Linked DNA regions of Astyanax mexicanus. The main gene of each other region encodes a partner of the protein of the gene in region 3 in a complex. Links are inferred from orthologs where the notes say so. Each region holds a gene or a part of one and is shown on either strand. Other genes may lie near its edges.

Evidence for each region.
Region 1: ndnl2 (region 3) and nsmce4a share a complex: the UniProt entries of both Homo sapiens proteins name them as parts of the SMC5-SMC6 complex. The link is inferred for Astyanax mexicanus from reciprocal best matches to the Homo sapiens genes NSMCE3 and NSMCE4A.
Region 2: ndnl2 (region 3) and nsmce2 share a complex: the UniProt entries of both Homo sapiens proteins name them as parts of the SMC5-SMC6 complex. The link is inferred for Astyanax mexicanus from reciprocal best matches to the Homo sapiens genes NSMCE3 and NSMCE2.

The regions. Positions count from the first base shown.
Region 1 is NC_064414.1:35,024,465-35,031,526, forward strand, and holds the start of nsmce4a (non-structural maintenance of chromosomes element 4 homolog A), read right to left. Parts: upstream 3,006-7,062; 5' UTR 2,745-3,005; intron 1,017-2,744; exon of another isoform or gene 981-1,016; 5' UTR 958-980; coding exon 741-957; intron 612-740; coding exon 531-611; intron 402-530; coding exon 271-401; intron 168-270; coding exon 25-167; intron 1-24. UniProt on the Homo sapiens protein: Component of the SMC5-SMC6 complex, a complex involved in DNA double-strand breaks by homologous recombination. The complex may promote sister chromatid homologous recombination by recruiting the SMC1-SMC3 cohesin complex to double-strand breaks.
Region 2 is NC_064413.1:4,744,550-4,751,507, reverse strand, and holds the start of nsmce2 (E3 SUMO-protein ligase NSE2), read left to right. Parts: upstream 1-3,953; 5' UTR 3,954-4,301; coding exon 4,302-4,416; intron 4,417-5,152; coding exon 5,153-5,265; intron 5,266-5,354; coding exon 5,355-5,502; intron 5,503-6,176; coding exon 6,177-6,271; intron 6,272-6,772; coding exon 6,773-6,879; intron 6,880-6,958. Other genes in the region: derl1 (derlin-1), read right to left, coding at 2,780-2,932. UniProt on the Homo sapiens protein: E3 SUMO-protein ligase component of the SMC5-SMC6 complex, a complex involved in DNA double-strand break repair by homologous recombination. Is not be required for the stability of the complex.
Region 3 is NC_064420.1:45,881,236-45,889,225, forward strand, and holds the start of ndnl2 (necdin-like 2), read right to left. Parts: upstream 3,042-7,990; 5' UTR 2,709-3,041; coding exon 2,655-2,708; intron 1,263-2,654; coding exon 1,143-1,262; intron 1-1,142. UniProt on the Homo sapiens protein: Component of the SMC5-SMC6 complex, a complex involved in repair of DNA double-strand breaks by homologous recombination. The complex may promote sister chromatid homologous recombination by recruiting the SMC1-SMC3 cohesin complex to double-strand breaks.

The sequences.
Region 1 (7,062 bases), on a different chromosome or scaffold from region 3:
TATCACATGTTTTATTATACATACAAGTAATGGAATGACGGCGCTGTTTTAAAACAATGTTCTGCCCTTTTGGAAAGTTTCTGCCAGGCATCTGGAGGCAAATATCCATCTAAGCCTTCTTGATCATCCTCCTCTTCTTCCAAGCGATTAAGACCCATGAAGGACAACTATTTAAAAAAAAGTTAAATTTATACACTGAATTTCCATGTTTGGAAAACAGCCATGTGCTTTAGAATATTATTTCGATCATCCTGGTATGCAGTGGCTCACCAAATGCTCTGCAAATGCAGAAGGGTCAAAAGACGATCCCTCTGCATGGAGCTGGCTGGCTTTTTCCCTTCCCAGGTCTGTGGCAAGAACCAGCAGCTGAGCATCCAAAGCAGCTTCTCGAGCTTGCCTGACTGAAAAGGAAACATACAAAAAAAATCAATACATTTACACACAAATAAAAGTCAGTTATGTCATAAACCTGCCGTCACAATATGTAGAACACACGGTTGGTCAATATAAAAAAAAAAATACGTATTTACCATTAGCAAACAGTTTGTTGGCTTCTTCTAACACATCAATCAGCTTATTGTTGGCAGGGTTCAACATGTCCTCACGATTTTCTGGGAACAACAGTCAGGCATGTTAGTACAAATGACTCAGACTAGATACACAGAAGTGTAAAAGTAGCAGCAAGTTGGCAACACTAAAAAGCACAGCTGTGTAGAAAAAAACACAATTGAGGTGCTCACGCTGGACAGAGTTGATGAGGTCCCTGTACTGGCTTCTGATCTCCCTCCGACGGGCCGGGTCATCATCTTCCTCATGGATCCCTGATGGACCAGCACCCTCATCCTCATCACCCGTGTCTGCTGCTCTCTCGGACCTGCTGCGTCCTCCTACTCCATTGGTATGTGCAGCAGACTCCTCCTGACTTCCTCTGCTCACTCTCCGCCTTGACTCAGACATCTCCCGACAGAGCGGTAGCGGTTCTGTATGTAATAACGGTGGTCAGATTCTTCAGTTGCCTAAATGAATGAACCAAAATAAATTCAATTAGCCTGCGTTTACATTACAAGCCACAAATCCTCCAATCCGATTTGCTCAGATGGGATTTGGCTATCTTGACGGTCCACATTCACAATTGTAAGTGACCTGTATCTGTGTGTAATCTGTGAACTAATCGGTCCCTCAAACGCCTCACATGCGCACATTGATACATATACAAATGTCGCATTCTTCACTAACAACAAAAAATTCATAATTGGAAGACAAATTGTTGCTTTATAAAGGTGAAATTTATGTGTTAGCTGCTTATAAGTGGAGGAAAAAAAACAGATCTGAGTCATATTGAGCAAAAAAAAATGATTTGAGTCACTTCAGCCTGGTAATGTGAATGAAGCCTAATTTAACAAATAGCACATTTAGACAACTCTCTCTAACTTAAGTTAAATGAACTAAATGTCATTCACTAAATTTAAAATAAATAATTCTAATAGTTCTAATGTTTCAGAAGCTATTCTGAGATCTTATGAGTTATAAATTGTTGTTGTTTCATTTAAACCTTCTGTTATGTTCATTTGCCAGGGACAGCAATGGTGTTCCCAGGTCAATTTGACCCGGTGCATGCATGTTTAATTATCCAAAAGATGTCGGAAAACTCCTAACAAGCAGTGTACATATTTAATTACTAACTCTATTACTAATTATTCTATCAATATTTAGTGCCTCTATCAGGTAATGGTTTACTTAGGATAATTCACTCGTTTTTTTTTTTTTTAAGTTTCACTTTTGAAAGACCAACATATACAATTCATAGTTTTACATAACACTGAAACATTACACTTCAATTTTGTTTTAGTTTTTGGTTTTTGCAGGGGGTGGTTGCAAATGTGAGAGATGAATCATTTTCATATTAACTTTTATGTTGAATACACTAATTATAGCAAGCAGAAAAAGTTTCATACTAAAAAATACTTTTAACTAGGGGTGGGTGATATGGCTCTAAAATAATATAATGATATTTCACAGTATTTCTGTGATAACTATACTCTTGGCGATATGACAAAACATCGAAATACAAAAAAATTATTTTCAAAATTATACTACTGCAACAAAATTAAAATTACATTTTATTATTGCATACGATATGACTTGGCACACCCCTAACTGAGATATTTAAAAATACAAGAATTTTATCAGATTTGTAACAGAAGTCAATGATCCACAATGTCATGATACTAACAATAATGCACTCCAGATATCTCCATATTTCCAGGATTAAAGTTAAATAAATGATATTGGACAGATATAATCTGTCTCTAGTAGATCTATAATGGGAAACTATATATTTTTGGAATGTCACAATATTCGAAAAATGTCTGCGGTATTATTGCGTACGACACGATATCGCACACCCCTACTTGTAACTATTTTTTCTAGATCTTCAAACTTTAAAACGGGTCTATTTGACCCGTAGCATAACAGAAGGGTTAACGCTGTGTTACATCAAGTATTTTACCTTAAAATATTAGTTAGCTAGCTAACCGTCATGTTCCCACAATAATAATAAAAAAAAACATAAATGAGCTGATCATGTATAAATTTATCTAAATCAATTTTAAATGTGGCATCAATATTCAGAAATAGCTGTGGGATAAATGGTTAGCAGTTAACAGCCTTCACAATTAAAGAGCATTTAGAACAGTAGTTAAATAGCTAGTTGTTAGCTGTTTAGCTAGCTGGCGATACATTACCCGCTGCTGCTGTTATTAGTGAGCTGAACTGGTGCCGCAGAGATTCTGCAGCTCCCGCGCGGCTAGTTAACACTAGCGCTTCACTAGTGACTCAGACACCACTAAACACATCTGGAAACACATATCGCTAACATTAAATCCATCTACTTTTTAAGATTATAGTTAATAAACAGCTATAAAGTGAGGCTGCTTCCAGAATCCAGCTCTAAGCACTGAGCTAGTTGTGTCTTCGCGGTAAAATAAACACGGAAGTCGGTTTCGTTCCGGGTTTCGTGCAGCGTTCAAGACCCTCTGGAGTTTGTTTCAGAATGTTTACCAAATGTATTATACTAATTCTCTTTGAATCCCTTTATTTATTTATTTATTTAATTATTTATTTATTGTTTTATTTTCGCGTATTTTTTGTTGTTGGATATATTACAACAATATAAATCTTACTTATGTGCTTTTTATAAATGTATATAAGTTATATAGAGAGAGCATGTTTCCACGAGGCTGAAGTTGGTTTGATATTCGCAGCTCCAGATTCGTTTGGCTCGATATTCGCAGCCTCGTATTCCCCGGCTGAAGTTGGTTTGATATTCGCAGCTGCCGCTTCACTGAACCACCGTGAACTAAAGGGAGCGTTCACAAACACCCGCTGTTTATATTAAACACCTCACAGATCAACACTGAAGGAGATAGAATGAAGAAAAGCAGTACATCTGTTTATTAACAATGTAAATATACAATATATTATTAAATATAATTTTGTATATTGTAAAATATTTATTTTAATTACTGAATTTATAATTATATATTACAATAAATAATTAAATATATGATTAATAAAATTATATTTTAAAAGCCATTGCGCTCAAAAAATATGAGGCAGATGTTCAAGTGTGATTTTGAAGAACTTTTTCATGTTGGGCCAGACCAAATACACATGATCTGAAGAGTACTAGTCTTCTACTTTAAGGAAAACCTGGAAGTAGCCTGGCCCGAGCTGATTTTATACTTTAAAATGAACTGGCAACATAGCATACCGATCCATAATGCACAATTTTTTTTATGAAAAGCTGATGTTCCAGTGTGATTTTGAAGGACTTTTTAACCTTGGGCCAGACCAAATACACATGATCTGAAGAGTACTAGTCTTCTTCTTTAAGGAAAACCTGGAAGTAGCCTGGCCCGAGCTGATTTTATACTTTAAAATGAACTGGCAAACTTTGAAAGACTTTTTCATCTTGGGCCAGAACACATACACATCAGATGAAGAGAACTACTCTCCCACTTTGAGGAAAACCTGGAATTAGCCTGGCCCGAGCTGATTTTATACTTTAAAATGAACTGGCAACATAGCATACCAATCCATAATGCACAATTTTTTTTATGTAAAGCTGATGTTCTAGTGTGATTTTGAAGGACTTTTTCATCTTGGGCCAGACCAAATACACATGATCTGAAGAGTACTAGTCTTCTACTTTAAGAAAAACCTGGAAATAGCCTGGCCCAAGCTGATTTTATACTTTAAAATGAACTGGCAACCTGGAATACCGATGCATAAAGCACAATTTTTTATGTAAAGCTGATGTTCCAGTGTGATTTTGAAGGACTTTTTCATCTTGGGCCAGACCAAATACACATGATCTGAAGAGTACTAGTCTTCTACTTTAAGAAAAACCTGGAATTAGCCTGGCCCAAGCTGATTTTATACTTTAAAATGAACTGGCAACATGTAATAACGATCCATAATGCACAAAGAAATTGAATATAAAGCTGATGTTCTAGTGTGATTTTGAAGGACTTTTTAATCTTGGGCCAGAACAAATACACATGATCTGAAGAGAACTAGTCTTCTACTTTAAGGAAAACCTGGAATTAGCCTGGCCCGAGCTGATTTTATACTTTAAAATGAACTGGCAACATAGCATACCGATCCATAATGCACAATTTTTTTTATGTAAAGCTGATGTTCCAGTGTGATTTTGAAGGACTTTTTCATATTGGGCCAGACCAAATACACATTATCTAAAGAGTACTAGTCTTCTACTTTAGGGAAAGCCTGGAATTAGCCTGGCCCAAGCTGATTTTATACTTTAAAATTAACTGGCAACATGGCCTACCGATCCATAATGCACAAAAAAATTGAATACAAAGCTGATGTTCTAGTGTGATTTTGAAGGACTTTTTAATCTTGGGCCAGACCAAATACACATGATCTGAAGAGTACTAGTCTTCTACTTTAAGGAAAGCCTGGAATTAGCCTGGCCCAAGCTGATTTTATACTTTAAAATTAACTGGCAACATGGCCTACCGATCCATAATGCACAAAAAAATTGAATATAAAGCTGATGTTCTAGTGTGATTTTGAAGGACTTTTTAATCTTGGGCCAGACCAAATACACATGATCTAAAGAGTACTAGTCTTCTACTTTAAGGAAAACCTGGAAATAGCCTAGCCCAAGCTGATTTTATACTTTAAAATGAACTGGCAACATGGAAAACAGATCCATATGCACAAAAAAATTGAATATAAAGCTGATGTTCTAGTGTGATTTTGAAGGACTTTTTAATCTTGGGCCAGACCAAATACACATGATCTGAAGAGTACTAGTCTTCTACTTTAAGGAAAACCTGGAATTAGCCTGGCCCGAGCTGATTTTATACTTTAAAATGAACTGGCAACATAGCATACCAATCCATAATGCACAATTTTTTTATGTAAAGCTGATGTTCTAGTGTGATTTTGAAGGACTTTTTAATCTTGGGCCAGACCAAATACACATGATCTGAAGAGTACTAGTCTTCTTCTTTAAGGAAAACCTGGAATTAGCCTGGCCCGAGCTGATTTTATACTTAAAAATGAACTGGCAACATGGAATAACGATCCATAATGCACAAAAAAATTGAATATAAAGCTGATGTTCTAGTGTGATTTTGAAGGACTTTTTAATCTTGGGCCAGACCAAATACACATGATCTAAAGAGTACTAGTCTTCTACTTTAAGGAAAACCTGGAATTAGCCTGGCCCAAGCTGATTTTATACTTTAAAATTAACTGGCAACATGGCCTACCGATCCATAATGCACAAAAAAATTTAATATAAAGCTATTGTTCTAGTGTGATTTTGAAGGACTTTTTAATCTTGGGCCAGACCAAATACACATGATCTAAAGAGTACTAGTCTTCTACTTTAAGGAAAACCTGGAAATAGCCTGGCCCAAGCTGATTTTATACTTTAAAATGAACTGGCAACATAGCATACCAATCCATTATGCACAATTTTTTTTATGTAAAGCTGATGTTCTAGTGTGATTTTGAAGGACTTTTTAATCTTGGGCCAGACCAAATACACATGATCTGAAGAGTACTAGTCTTCTTCTTTAAGGAAAACCTGGAATTAGCCTGGCCCGAGCTGATTTTATACTTTAAAATGAACTGGCAACATAGCATACCAATCCATAATGCACAATTTTTTTATGTAAAGCTGATGTTCTAGTGTGATTTTGAAGGACTTTTTAATCTTGGGCCAGACCAAATACACATGATCTGAAGAGTACTAGTCTTCTTCTTTAAGGAAAACCTGGAATTAGCCTGGCCCGAGCTGATTTTATACTTAAAAATGAACTGGCAACATGGAATAACGATCCATAATGCACAAAAAAATTGAATATAAAGCTGATGTTCTAGTGTGATTTTGAAGGACTTTTTAATCTTGGGCCAGACCAAATACACATGATCTGAAGAGTACTAGTCTTCTACTTTAAGGAAAACCTGGAATTAGCCTGGCCCGAGCTGATTTTATACTTTAAAATGAACTGGCAACATAGCATACCAATCCATAATGCACAATTTTTTTATGTAAAGCTGATGTTCCAGTGTGATTTTGAAGGACTCTTCAGATCATGTGTATTTGGTCTGGCCCAAGATTAAAGAGTACTAGTCTTCTACTTTAAGGAAAACCTGGAATTAGCCTGGCCCAAGCTGATTTTATACTTTAAAATGAACTGGCAACATGGAATACCGATCCACAATGCACAATGTTTTATGTAAAGCTGATGTTCTAGTGTGATTTTGAAGGACTTTTTAATCTTGGGTCAGACCAAATACACATGATCTAAAGAGTACTAGTCTTCTACTTTAAGGAAAGCCTGGAAATAGCCTGGCCCGAGCTGATTTTATCCTTTAAAATGAATTGGCAACATGACATGAAAGCCATTTTGCACAGAAATAATGAATATAAAGCATTGATTTTGAGAATACTAGAACTCTTCATCTGATGTGTATTTGGTCTGAAAAAAAAGTCAAAAATCATACTGGAATATAAGCTTA
Region 2 (6,958 bases), on a different chromosome or scaffold from region 3:
TGTTGATCCACTGTGTTTTATCATCAAGTCTAAAGTCAGTATAATAAAAATAAAAATGCTTTAAAAGGGTTAAAATAGCAGATTTTATTTTTTTGTGTAAAACATCTGGCACATCTGGAACTACAGTGTATGTGTTTTTAAAATACATTAACATTTTTAAACATGGTGTGACTGGTGAAAATATATTTGGCCCCTAAATGAATATTGTGGCCCCTTTAAGAACCTCTACTATGAGCTCCAGAGTCATACGAGCAAACCTCTGACATGAAAGCGAAGGCAGCGTTAATGCTTACACTTAAAATTTATTTTTTATTCAGAATTTAATGTACTCCAATTAATTACACAGGATTAGTTGATTGATTACTCATGTTGTATTAAAAATCTTATTGTGCATTATGATACTATAGTCTTATCGCCCACCTCTAATAAACTGAGCCTATATTCCATTTAAACACACAGTGACCCACGTGTTTCACACAGTCAATGTGTTCGGCGCCCTCTGGTGGACTTCATATTTTAAATAACCATTCCACCTTAAATGGTGCAGTACTTACCTGCTGCATTGTTTAAGGTGGTATGGAATATTATAACTCAAAAGAGCCCATGTCACAGAGCCTTTTAAAAGATGTATAAATTTACTTAGAGCACTTTGTTCTTCACTTTAGCTCACATTAATTTCCTTAAGTGATACATACTAAACATCCTGAGAGCATCACTACAGGACAGTGTGTGAATCTGTGTTCACTCATCTCGCCTTATTTATTTACAGAAAGTAGAAGTGCTTTAAATAGAGATAAAACCACTAAAGCTCCTTTAAAAAAAAAAAAAAAAAAATTCCACATAGGCCTGTCATGAAAAATTAAATGTTTTCAACTTATCACACAATAAACATATATGACCTTAATGACATGTAATAATCGTGATATCATCACATATTGTGTTTATTTGTATGGTTGTTTATATATAAAACATATATTTAAACAGTATTTTAGCCAGTCATGCAATACCAGACCAATGCTTCAACAACTGCAAAAGAAAAAAAACAGAAAAAAAAAAACCATATATTTCCCAAACTATGATTCATTTAAATGTTGTATTTAAAAGGGTACAACTGCTTTGTTGTGCTATTTTACTATCATTATGTCAGTAGCATTTAATGCTAATTTCTGGGATAATATATTGTCCATAAAAATGTTTTATTGTGACAGGCCTGTTCCAACCATTTTAACCATTCAAATGCTTTAATTAAATGTTTTACAAACACCTAGGAAAAAAAAGTAAAATACAAGACATACATTTTTTGTGATATTTATTATATCAGGATTTAACTTGATAAAATGTTTACAGTCATGTGTTCAGAATAAAAAAAAATGAGCTGCTTACTGAATTTATCTGATTTGATTTTTAAAATAGTATCAATATTCAAATGTGGATCTGGGTTCTTTGTAGGTTAAGAATAAAATTTTTGCTTTTTTGTTTATATTTTGTTCCTTCTTTGTTGTTGTACTACACATAAATCCCCCCAATATTTTATCTAGCTATTTAAAAATCTAATTAATTCACGAAAAAAAATAATTCACTCAAAATTTTAGTTAAAAAAAAAAAAAAAAAAAAAAAAAAATACACACAAAAAAAAATGTCTCGCTTTCACACGTGCACCCATGCTTGAACAGGCACGCACATCATTTGCCTCTCAAACCAAGAGCCCTGCTTACCCAGTGATATGTGTGATATGTTACCCTGTGACTTAGCGGCTCTGCACATGCACTCACACACAATTCTGTATAATTACTATATTTTTCACACAAAAAGGTGCACTTAAAATCATTTAATTTTCCAAGAAACCATCAGTGTGTCTTATAATCCAGTGCATCTTATGAATGAATTCTATCAGTCAGGTATTAAGGAGCAGTAAAGTACAGCGTTAAACAGGAGTTTAAGTGAAGTTTCTCCAGCACTGAGGCTGGAGCAGTATTAGCATTAGCTGCTAAAAGCACTAAGTGCTAGCAAATCACAATCCACATAATTGCATTTTGACTAGGTGCAGCGCAGAATTCAAAATGAAATGTAATTACTTGGTGTTACAAAAGTGTAATTAGAAATTCTTATAAAACAATATATACAAAATTATCATATGAGCTAATTGCCTTAGATTTTCCCTGATAAATAAATGAATAAATGACTAATTACAAATCTGTCCTGCACGTTTACTCAAAAGCATTTTTGATATGACGTTTTTATCCTACCTAATAGGGGCGTGCCATGTCATAACGTACGCAATAATATCACAAACAATTCATTATAAAAAAAAAAATCTATATCGTGACAGTGATATTCATGAAAGAAGTCTGTTTTGCTATTTACTGTAGCCCTGTCATTTTTTTGTGGACGTTATTTTGTCCTAGAAATAAATGCGAAAAAATATATTATTGTAATTTTAAAATCATTATATGCCACTGACATAATAGTAATAAAATAGGATGAAAAGCAGTAATATTCATTGTAATATGATAATAATGAATTATACTTGCATTGTTGTTGTAATGTTATTTATCAAAACCTACATGCTATATTTTTTGTGGGGAAAAAAATAAAATAAAAATGATCTATAAATACAGACCTGTGGTAGCAGGTTTTGACAACACAGCCCAAATCGACATAACACTGGATCGCTGGTTCACAGCTAATAATAATTAGCTATCTCGCACCTCTCTCATTAAGACCGAGGCCTAGGCCTCCCTAACCCTCAACCTCCTCTCCCAGCGGCCCCGGCTCTCACCTGGAACTTGTGGAAGAAAGCCTCCGGCCACAGCACGAGGAACACCGGGCTGATCAGCCCCAGCTTCCCGATCAGCGGAACCGCGATCGAGCCCGCGAACCAGTACCGGGTGATGAACGGGACGCTCTTAAACCAGTCCCCGATATCTGACATCTCTCCTCGGCGCTGCGGAGCCCTCAGCCCCGCTCCTCTGTACTCTAACCTGCGGCTACACCGGGCCCTGAGCGCGGCGCTGCGGCTCTGCGGATCGCGGCGGATCGCGGCGGATCGGGGTGAACCCGGTTCGGCTGCTTCTATTTTGGTTGAGTGTCGGTCGGACGCGCTTTTACTCCGTTTACATGACGTGGCCCCGCAGGAGTCGATAGGCTGCGGCCGCGACGCCAAATGACGGTTCTTGCTGCGATTTGTCCGCGTCTCCTGCGCGTGCATGTCAAAATAAAAGCCCCGAGACCGCGAAAGAACACATGAGGAATAATGTAATAAACTTTAAAAAGGGTTAACAAATGATGCAAGATTAAAGTCGTAACATTACGAGATTAGTCAAAACATTATGAGATTAAAGTCATTACATTACGAGATTAAAGTCATTACATTATGAGATTAAAGTCATAACATTACGATATTAAAGGCATAATATTACAATATTCAAGTCATAACATTATGAGATTAAAGTTGTAATATTACGAGGATAAAGTCGTAATATTACGAGATTAAAGTCATGACATTACAAGTTTAATTTCATAACGTTACAAGATTTAAGTCACATTACGAAATTAAAGTAAAAATATTATCATAATATTACAGGAATAAAGGTGTGACATTACGAGAATAATGTTGTAATATTACACGTTTATTAAGACTTTAATGCCATCTCATAATGTCATTCCATACGTCTTTTTCTCTCGTCATATTACTAGTTTATTATCGAAGTAAACTGTTTTTTAAATAGTGTTTGTTAGTTGAGCCCGCCTAAGTGCTTCTCAGAGTATTTTTAGTTGGTTTAATTACACGATTCATTATGTGTTATTTCATAGTAGGAAAAAAATCTTTGACTGGTACTGTATATTTGTAGAGCGAGAAGAAAGAGAAAGAAAGAAAAAAAGAAAGAGCGAGAGAGAGAGAGAGAGAGAGAGAGAGAGTGGGGGGGACTTTTATTTTGTCTTCACGTCACTCGCAGTAGTTGAGGCGGGCTGCAGGAGCCTGATTTGTTTTTGAGTCGCTATCTGAAGTAAAATAAACTGGTTATTTGTGTCGGGCTAGTTTTTATAAACCTTTTAACAACTTTAACACTATTATACTATATTTAGCTACGTGTGTGTACGCTTGTTTTGTTGGCTGAACCCGGTTGTTTCGGATAAATTATCTAACTACGGTTAGCTTAACATGCTAACTAACTAACTAGCTAACTTGTAAACACGCTTTACCCACTCGCAGGTCAAACCGGTTTACTTTCCGATTAATTCAGTTTCTTAACCAGTCCGCTGTAGCCGGAAATCACAGAGGTAACAGTTAGCGTTAAATTATGTCGTTGAGTTCAGTTCAGCCCGCGCTGTCCAGTCTGAAGACATGTCAGGTGGATATTGGGACAGGGATGGACATCGTGTCAGATGTCGCTCTGGATCTGGTGGAAGCCCAAGGTACAGTACAGCTATTTACCTAAATCTAACCTTAACTAATTAACTAACTAATCTTTAATCAAATACAGCCTTTTATACATACAGTTATATATTTCCTACATTGTAAATAAATGTTAAAGTATTTTAGACTATAAAGGAACACGTCGTGTAGTAAACGAGTAAAAAGTGTTAAACAAACCATAAAACCTATTTTGGTCCCACTTATCTGTGACTGGAACTTTCCTGTGCAACAGAGGTAACTCTTGCTCTTCCTTTTCTGGGGCGTTACTGATGAGAGCCAGTTTTATCATAACGTTTTTGATGGTCTTTGTGGTGACTGCACTTGAGGATACTTTAAGAGCTCTTGAAATGTTTCAGATTGACTGACCTTAATTTCTTAAAGTAAGGTTAATTATTGCGAGAATAAAGCCGTAATATTACAAGATTTAAGTCGTAATATTCTGAGTTTAGTCGTAATATTGGGAGATGAAAGTTGTAATGTTATGAGGTTAAAGTCGTAATATCAAGACTTTAATCTCGAAATATTACGACTTTAATAATGCCATTCCGTACGTTTTTTTCTCATCATATACTGAGTTTATTACTAAAGTAATTTGATTAACCGAGTTACTGGTTTAATGCGAAGCTTTATGGTTTACAGCACTGTAAACATGCTTGATGTTTCTTGTAATTGTTGAGAGTGTGTGTAGATTCAGATGCTGTGTTGCTATGATTCTTTTTATTTGTTTTATTCCAGGCACTGATGACAGTCCGAGTTTAAGAAAATTGGAGCAGATGATGTTAGAATGCGCTGCTCTGGACAGAGAGATAAACTGTTTTGTGGAATCTGTTGAGCAGACGACAGCTCATGTTAGTAATTTTAGATCGTTTCAATTCTAATTCTAATATACTTTTTTCTATCCCTCTAATTCATCTTGTATTTTCTCCTGTGTCTGCAGGTGAGACGAGAACCTCCACAGGCCATGTTCTCGCTGTTAAACTCTGTAAAGAATCGCTTTGCTGAACTAAAGGACAGGGATTCAGACGTTCAGAGACACAGCAAAGTAGTGGCTTTCAGAGACAACATCAGGAAATCTTTGGCACAAGGTATCGTACACACTGTCTCTTCCTGTCTCAAACACAGTACAGCGATTTCAACTCATTAAACTCAAAACAATAAATGATGATCTCTGTCGTAGGAAAACTCTTCCTCTTTCATTTATTGGTAGAATAGCTACAATCAAAATGACAGTGTTACTAAAAATCAACTATTTGTTTTTAATGATTCCCATCTACCTGGTTTCAGTTTCTGGTACCACTTTAAAATAAGACTACCTTTATAAAGGGTTTATAAATGGTTTACAATTAGTTTATTAATGGTTACTAAGTAGGTTGTAAATGCTTTAAAAATCATTAATAATCAGTTATAACACATACAGAGAAAGGACAGTGACCTGTTGTTTGCCAAATAGTGAACTATATTACACAGCCATCTGTATTGTTGCCTTTTCTACGTATATGTGTTATAACTGATTATTAATGATTTTTAAGGCATTTTCAACCTAATTAGTAACCATTAATAAACGAATAGTAAACCATTTATAAACCCTTTATGAAGGTAGTCTTATTTTAAAGTGGTACCCAGTTTCTTAATACCACTTTTTTGTTTAGCCAGCAGTGTATTATTGTACTATTATACTATTGTATTAATCGGATTCATTTAGGTAGCAGTTGTTTGAGATAAAAAGGTAATTAAACAGTTCTCATGTGTGTTTTTTTAGTGAACCAATCAGCGGCTGCCCATGTTGAAGAGGAGCTGGATGAAGACATTGCTGTTACACAGAGCCAGACAAACTTCACATGTCCTCTTACCCAGGTAAACTTTTGCTTTTAACAGATACATTAATAGTGTTGTCTCAAAATCCAACATTTTGACTTTGGATATGATACCTGCCTAAATATCTCAATAACAATACTGAAACAATACCACAGCATTTTAACATTATTAATAATACTAATAAAGCTTATTGAAATAATGCCACAGTGAATGCGTGCTTCAATCACAGCGATTAAAAAAAATGGCAGTTTAACAAAATACTTTTTTTTTTTTCTTGGGTGTTTTGCGCAACTACTGGGGTTTTAAATGATAAAATAATGTATTAGCATTAATCACATTATTTTTCCTAGTTAATTTGGTCATATTTCTTTTTTATTTTCCATAAATGCATCTTGTTTAAGCTCTGTGGTTGGATGCAAAGGTTTAATCAAAGTCTGTTTATTACGTAATTTAAGTAAATTCAGGAACATTTCATGGTGTGAGTGCATATTATGTATTACTTTTATAAAAATTTGAGTGGTTTGACCTCATCATTCACAGGTTGAGATGGTAAATCCAGTACGAAACAAGAAGTGCCAACATTACTACGACCAAGAAGCTGCACTGACCATGATCAAGACCAGACACAACAACAAGAAGAAGTTCCGGTAAGCTGCTTTCAGCTGTGTGCATTTCTGCACATTTCACTTAGATATCCAATATTTTGTCTAAGGGTGAGTTTTCAGA
Region 3 (7,990 bases):
GAAGCAGAGTTTCCCCTACACCTCGAGCGGACATGCATCCCCAGACCATAACGCTCTGGGGAAACTTGACGGATCTTTTCACGCACTCGTGGTTGTAGGTTTTGCCACCACGACGCCAGACACGAGGACCTTGGTCACCGAAGGAGATGCAGAAGCGTGATTCGTCACTGAAGACCACTTTCTGACAGTCTTCAGCAGTCCACTCGCCGTGTTCTTTGGCCCACTTCAGCCGTTTCTCCATTTGTTTCTTGTTCAGCATCGGTTTTACTGCTGGAACGCGAGATTTGAAGCCGAGTTCGCGCAGACGACGGTAAGTGGTTGATCTGGAGACGTCAGCGCCGGTCTGCTTGTTCCACAAGTCGGTGAGCTCGGAAGTGGACTTGAACCGGCTGCTTGTTGTCGCGAGCAGAAGTTTTTCGGACGCCGGAACAGTTGATGCGCTTGCTGCAGTTTTTCTTGAGAGCTTTGCAGACGGAAGACTGGCTGATGCCGAGCTGCTCAGCAATTTTAGTTTGGGTCAAGCCTTGTTGGCGAAGGGCTTGAATTTGAGCCACTATTCCTGTAGAGAGGTCGCGCTGCTTACCCATGATTGATTTTACAACTTAGAAATTCTACTCAACCCTGACTTTATACTGCACAGTGAACACTCTTCACAGAAAACAAAAATTCGAGCATTTATTCTAATTCAATTAAACAGTTTCTCCATTATTCTAATTCAATAAAACAACAGTGTCACAGTTAAATGGCCTAAATGGGCCTTTTGGAAAGCTCAGCTGAGCAATTTTTTTTCCAGGTAACGAGTTCTGTGATTAGTCTAACGAGTAGGACAGGTGCGGTGAACACCTGATTTGCTTTCTGCACAAAAAATGCATTCAAAGAATTTCATTTCATTTCATTTTCATTTCAGTTTTGCACTATTTAGAATTATTCTAATTCGTTCACCAGCACCTGTAAAGACACTAGAAAACACAGAACATTTATTAATGATGGTGCTGTAACTACATGCAATAGTCCTTCGTTCACACAAAGTGTACTGAACAGAGAAGAGACCGAACCATAATCCCATCCCATAATAAGCTCACATTAAAAAAAAAAAAAACACACTATGTGTATGTGTTTTGAATTTAATTAGACTGAGTTACCTTACGATCGACCTGGACAGGTGTGTAATTCTCCCTGGCCTTCTGGACCTGTGATGATGTTGGCTGTGTGTAGGATGCATCACCATCATCATCCTCGTCCAGTACCACCTGCTGCGAGCGCTGTGAAGATTTAAAGACATGCAGAACAGACATTGCAATCATAAATATTATAAGTTATAAATGTGTAAGTTGGATATCAGCACTGGCCCAGAATTCCCACATTGGAGACTCCCTGGAATATATGGAATATAAAGATGCAGTGCAGTAAAGAACACTGTTTAAAAAACACTTTTATTGTGGTAATTTCTGCCTCTGCAGCGTCCTCTCAGGTTAAACTGTGCTATAGGAGTGGATGATGCTAAAGGTGCCCCGCTTCTAAACCCATACATCACCCAGTGCCCTTCCCAAACTACACCTCTCATTGTTTAGCCTTTTTCAAATTTGATCTGAGAGTGAAGTCAGGGGGTTTAGCACCTCTTTAAACTAAAATCTTGTTAAGAAAATGATAATAGCTGATGATCGAATGTCATGATAAATTACGGTACTTTTACTTTTTTAAAACTTTAGTACACTTGAAGGCAAGCAGTTACTGATGTACTTTTACTCAAGAGGAGGTCTAAAGGGAAGACTTTTGTTTTTACTGAAATAATATTTTCTATCTTATATCGTCAGTAACTCTTCTTTAACTCAACCTATAATAACTAACTACAAGGTTTGGGTACTTTGTCCAACACTCAATAAAAAATAAACTAGGTCAAATGTAAAATAAATAATTGAACAAAAAATACTCAAAGGGTAAAAATGCATCAGTGTTTTATGTACAGAGCACACATCAGTTATATAACCTTGTTAAAAACTTGTTAGTTAACAAATTAAAATGCCAGCATTTTTTTTTCAGTTTTTGCCTGATATCACACCCCTATATCTTAAGGATTTCTATACAAACATTACATAAAAAGGTTTCATGTTTAATAAAAAACATTAATTATTTTTTTCAATATATACTATATTTATATATAAAATATATTTTAACAAATTTAAATCTGCAATTGTCAAAATATAGTGAATAAAAATCTGAAAATTGCAGCTTTTCTGAACTTAATTTTAAAATCAATATTTTCCTCAATACATATGAAACCGTTTATATTGCGGCAGTTGTCTAGTTTTTGTGTCTATTTTCAAACAAGTAGAATTTGATATATTATATTATCACACACACACATATATATATATATATATATATATATATATATATATATATATATATATATATATATATACCGTTATATATATCAATTTTTGTTATTAATCTGAAATTACGTGGAATAAATTAGAGAGAAAACAGGCAGCTTCTCCAAGTGACCTGTAGAAGTTTTCAGAATATAAATAACTTGTTATACAGCAGGGTTTTGGGTCAAGACTTGTTAGGGTTAACTAGGTAGCTAATAGTCATTTCTGCCAATAGTTATCAGGTATAAACAGTAGTTAAGTTAAATGTCCAGCTCTGCTTACCCTCGGTACTCTGTTCTGGGAGCCAGCATGCGCCACTCTCTTCCTCTGAGACATTTTTACAGCCCTGATATTACAGAAAATCTCTCTAATTAACTCAAATCACAGTTAAAATCCTCATTCCGGCAGCTCATAACAACACACCGTTAGAAACAGCTAACAGCAGCTAACAGCTAATAATCACACATTTACAGCGTTTAAAGCCGATTTACTCACACAGAGCCCCTCACTATTAGTTCTAAAGAGTGCTACACATAATCAAGAGTGTTTATCGCTTATATAAAACCCTATAAACACTATTTTACTTCATATTTAGGTCTAAAAACGAAGGCACACCGCGCAGTTTGGAACTTCCGTCTGTTTGGTCACGTGGTTGCTAAGCGCGGCATCTGATTGGCTGAATCGCGACGGCGTGTAAGTTAACACACCCGTTTTTAGAACAGTCCCGCGCGAATAATTCCTACCCGTATTTAGGGTGGCCAATCACAAAGCAGGATGGGGGGGGGGGGGGGGGGGCTAGGCGTCTTCCTAAATATTAGTATGTATTTATTTCTTGTTTTATTATTTATATGTAATATATACAGTACTAGTCAAAAGTTTGCACCCACAATCTCAGTCAATGTTTTTTTTTCCCTAATGAGAGCCAGTTCCATCATAGCGTCTTTGCAACTACACTCGATAAAGCTTTAAAAGTATTTTTTCTTTACTTAGTAGCTAAGTAGTGCTTGCTTCTCATAATCTGGATTAGAACTTTACTCAAATATACACTATTCACTGTATACCTGTAAATATACCTCTTCACTACTTTACAACTGATGCTCTCAAACACTTTATTAAGAGACAAGAAATTCAAGTAATTAGCTCTTGATGAGTTCAGCACAGCTGTTAACTGAAAGCCACAGAAAGCCCGGAGACTCTACCTCATAAAGCTGACTGAGAAAATTCAGCTAAAATGAGTAAAACTGTCTATCTAAGCAAGAGGTGCTACTTTTAAGAATGTAAAATGTGAAACATATTCTGGTTTGTTTAACACGTTCTATTTACTAAATAATTCCATGATTTTTTTTTATAGTTCTGATGACCCTAGTATTAATCTACAATGCAGTAGCAAAAATAGTTAACATAATAGTATTGGATGCTTTTTATATATAAATTACGAAATTAAGAGACCATTTTAGTTTCTGAATCAGTTTCTCTGATTTTATTATTTAAAGGTATATGTTTGAGTAAAACATTGTTTTTTTTCCCCAACTTCCTATTATATATTGTCATTTAGAGCATTTATTTGCAGGGAATGAGAAATCGCTGAAATTACAAAAAAGATCCAGAGCTTTCAGACCTCAAATAATGCAAAATAAACAAGTTCATATTTATTAAGTTCTTAAATCAATATTTGGTGGAATAACTCTGGTTTTTAATCACAGTTTTCATGCATCTTGAAATCATGTTCTCCTCCACCAGTCTTACACACTGCTTTTGGATAACTTTATGCCTTTACTCCAGCAGCTCAGCTTGGTTTGATGGCTTGTGATCATCCATTCTTCTCCTGATTATATTTACATTTACTCATTTTACTTGTCGTTGTTATTATGTATTATTATTTTCCAATTATTATTACATTTTCTTTGTAGTAATAGTAGAAATAATAGTATTGTTTGCTTTTTATGCATTTTTCAATCGATGTTTTTTAATGTTTATATTAGTTTTTTGTACTATATATTTTGTACTATACTACTTTGAGGTGTGAAAAGAAAAAAAAATTAATAACACAAATGTACACTCTTATCATTCACATGCAAAACACATGTTAGACAATGAAAACGTAGATTATGTTTCATCTCTTAAATGTTTATAATCCTACGAAACAGTCCTTGATCAGAACCCAACACAACCTTACTCCACATGGTGGCAGTATAGGACTTAGTTTATAGACCCAGACTAGGTCCACTAACAGTGACAGTGAGGCCAATACAACCTACTGAAGTCTGGCCTATTCTCTGGCTAGGCCTCAGTAGGGATTGATATGACGTTGCTTCAGTGTTGCTAAACAGTTGTATTTTATTGTATGTGGTTAATTGTTACTAGTGTGTTTTCATAATTTATAATATCATCTTGGAAATTTAACCTTTTTGCCTAAATTATCTCCTCATGATGCTGCAGGGCCAGCTTTGGTAAAATCCTGCATCCCTAGCTGATCAGATCATTTGATTCTACACCTAATGGCCTATAATGGCCTATGTCTACAGTAAGACTTTAGCTCATTTATTATTTATAATTTAAATATAATGTGACATTCAATTTTAATAGCTTTCCAAAAGTAGACTACCTTCACTGAACTAATTCCACCATTTATGTCTTGTCTCCAATGAATAAGTAATGACATTTTTGTTATAATATACTTCTTACTTCTTAATAATAAAGGCTATCGGCTATAAATATTACATAGTTGGCTCCGATACATTCGCTCACAGATGCCTTGTGCTGATCCACATCACCCTAGTAGTGATGAGTGGAAAAAGCGCCATCTACCTACCCGGAGAGAGCAAGGCCAATTTGTACTCTCTCAGGGCTTCGGCAGCTGATGACAAGCTGCATGACCAGGACCCTAACCAGTCATTGCTCATTTTTAAATAGCCAAGTGTAAGCTCTCACTAACTCTGTTTCTCTCTCTTGCGCACATACTATGTATAGCACTATCCGGACAGGATTAGTTTCTCAGGGGGACGGCTGTTTAAAATATTTCACATTTTTCTACTCAGTGATAAAACTATTGCATCCGGACTTTTTTTTTAATGCTTTTTCAATCACATGACATCGCGTTCAGTAGCTCCTCCATTTCCACTAGTTGTTATGTTTATTTTTAATTACGGTGCGCAGCAGTGGACAAATAGCTATTTTATTAAACGCGAGGTGACGAAACTCTGAGATGTGCATCTGGATAGTACTTAAAATATTGTAGGAAAATATTGTAGTTCTGCCTGTAATATTTTCAGAAACGAATCCAGTCCTCTGAGAAAATTACAGGCTGAATTACATACTGTTTTTCACTAAACTCTGTGGTCCTAGAATATAGAAGCGAGTGGAAATGGAGGAGCTACTGAACGTGATGTGACCGAGAAAACCAAAAAACTTACTGGTCCTCCTGTTTTTTTGTTTTTTTTTGTTGTGGTTGTATTTGCAGCGCGTTTTTCTATTTTTCTATTTTCTATCGTTATAATCGTGTTTACCCGACGTTAGTGATGGTGTTACTAATTATTTCAACATTAGTGTTCTAGGGTTAAGGAAGCAAAGTCTTGCGGTAAAAAAGTGTGATTAGTCGTGATTAATTTGATTATTTTCATACATTTTTTAATCAGTCGACAGAACTAGTATTAACCATAGGGTGCGGGTGTCAGTCAGCCCTGCACATGTGTTGTTTAACTCTCTAATTTTTCAGCTGCTTGAGGAGGAGAAAAAGAAGAAGAATAAAGATAGATGGGCCTAAAAATCCTTTACAAGCGAAGCTGTTTCAGCAGCGGGGAGGTTAATTTCACTCCCCATAAATTACAGCAGTTGAGTTCCTCCCTCCTCCTCCTCCTGTTACTCTCCTCGTGCTGTGTTGTTCCAGTTCCCCCCTCCCTCCCGCCGGCGAGCTGCACACACACAGCTGGGGAAGAGAGAGAGAGAGAGAGAGAGAGAGAGAGAGAGAGAGAGAGAGAGGGATTTGTGTGTGTGAGTGTGTGTTTGTGTGATAGCATTGTGCCAAGGGCAGGGAAGGGCAGGCGGGCCCAGACTGAGTGGCGCCGGCGCACACCTGGGGAAGTTCAGGTTAAATAGCTCCACATTCCTCGGCGCACAGCTGATTGAAACATTAACAAACAGTAATCCGTGAGCCAAGCTGCAGATGGGCCGGGACCACGGCCAAGCAGAGGGGAAAAAAGGCTTGCTGGGCTGTATATAGTGTGTGTGTGTGTGTGTGTCTCTCTCTCTCACTGGCTTAGTGCTTAGTTACACTAGTGCATGCATTTGTTATTATACACACTAATTGAAACACTTGTGGATCATGTGCAGAGAGATGATGTACAGTATCTGCTCAGTGTCTCCTGTGGTTCTTTAAAATCAGAACCATCTGCACTGATTTAATACACAATTAAACAATTTTAGTCCGCTTACATTGTTTTGCATAAGAAAAACTGATAATAAACGAACTTAATAAATTTGTGAATATTAAAAACACTTCTCTCCAAAAAAAAGTGCAACTTTACAGGAGAGAGAAAAAACCTTGTAAACTTTCAGTGGAAGTCAATGTAAGAAGACTTGATTTCAGGTCGTTTTGAAGTGTTTCTATTGGCCCGTTCATCAAGAAATTTTGGCACAGTGGCACAGGGACAGTTTGTCTGTTCAAATTATGTAGTAAACTAAAAACCTACCAAAAAATGGAGATAAGTGTTTTTCATAGGACAGCGACGATTTACTGTAGACATTTTACTCATTCATTCAAAAAGATGCATTTGCTGTTTTTTTTTCCAGCAAGACAATGCAAATCCACATGATTGCACATGATGCACACATTGCAAAAAGCATGGCTATAGAATTAGAAAGTATGAGTATGTGAATTGTCCATTTTAAAACAAGTCCCCATAATGTTGCACACTTGAAGACGTGTTTAAATTGTGAATTGTGATAAATTAAACACTTAATTAAACACTTAAAATTCATTGCTTGATATTATTGGTTTCACTTAAATTTTTTCTAATGAGCTCAACTACAAAACTTTTCACACTAAGTGTGAAGTGTCCAAAAAAGCATGTTTTGGACATTATTAAGGTTGGAAAATAAGTTCCTCACACTAGATTTTTAGCTGTGAAGTACTTTACATTAGAAAGAACCACTTTTATGTAATAAAGTATCCTTTAAATCTATGAGGAAAGTTCTTTATGACATTTTAAAAAATGTCTTCTAAGACATTGCTCAATATTAAACTATAGAAAGCATCTTTATTGCCTTAATAAAACAGGCTTAAATTAATTGGTACATTTGTAGTGAGAACCAGCAATTTAAAGGCCAAAACATTGAACCATTTCAGCTATTTTCTATTAAAAAAACTTGTTTTTTTGGCTCATCAATGACATTTCTATAGTGTTACACTTTTTACATCATTGGTGATGCTGCATGGTAAATGCATTAGTGTTACATTAACATGTTACATATGTCATTTTAGTGTTTATTTGAATCAGTTTCTGTTTAAACTGTGCTTTTTTCTGTTAAAAACGTGGTTCTAACATAAGTCTGGGCTCAATTTTGAATCATTTAAAGCAACTTTTTTTTTAAAAGTTGTACAGTGTTTCTGTATTGGTGAA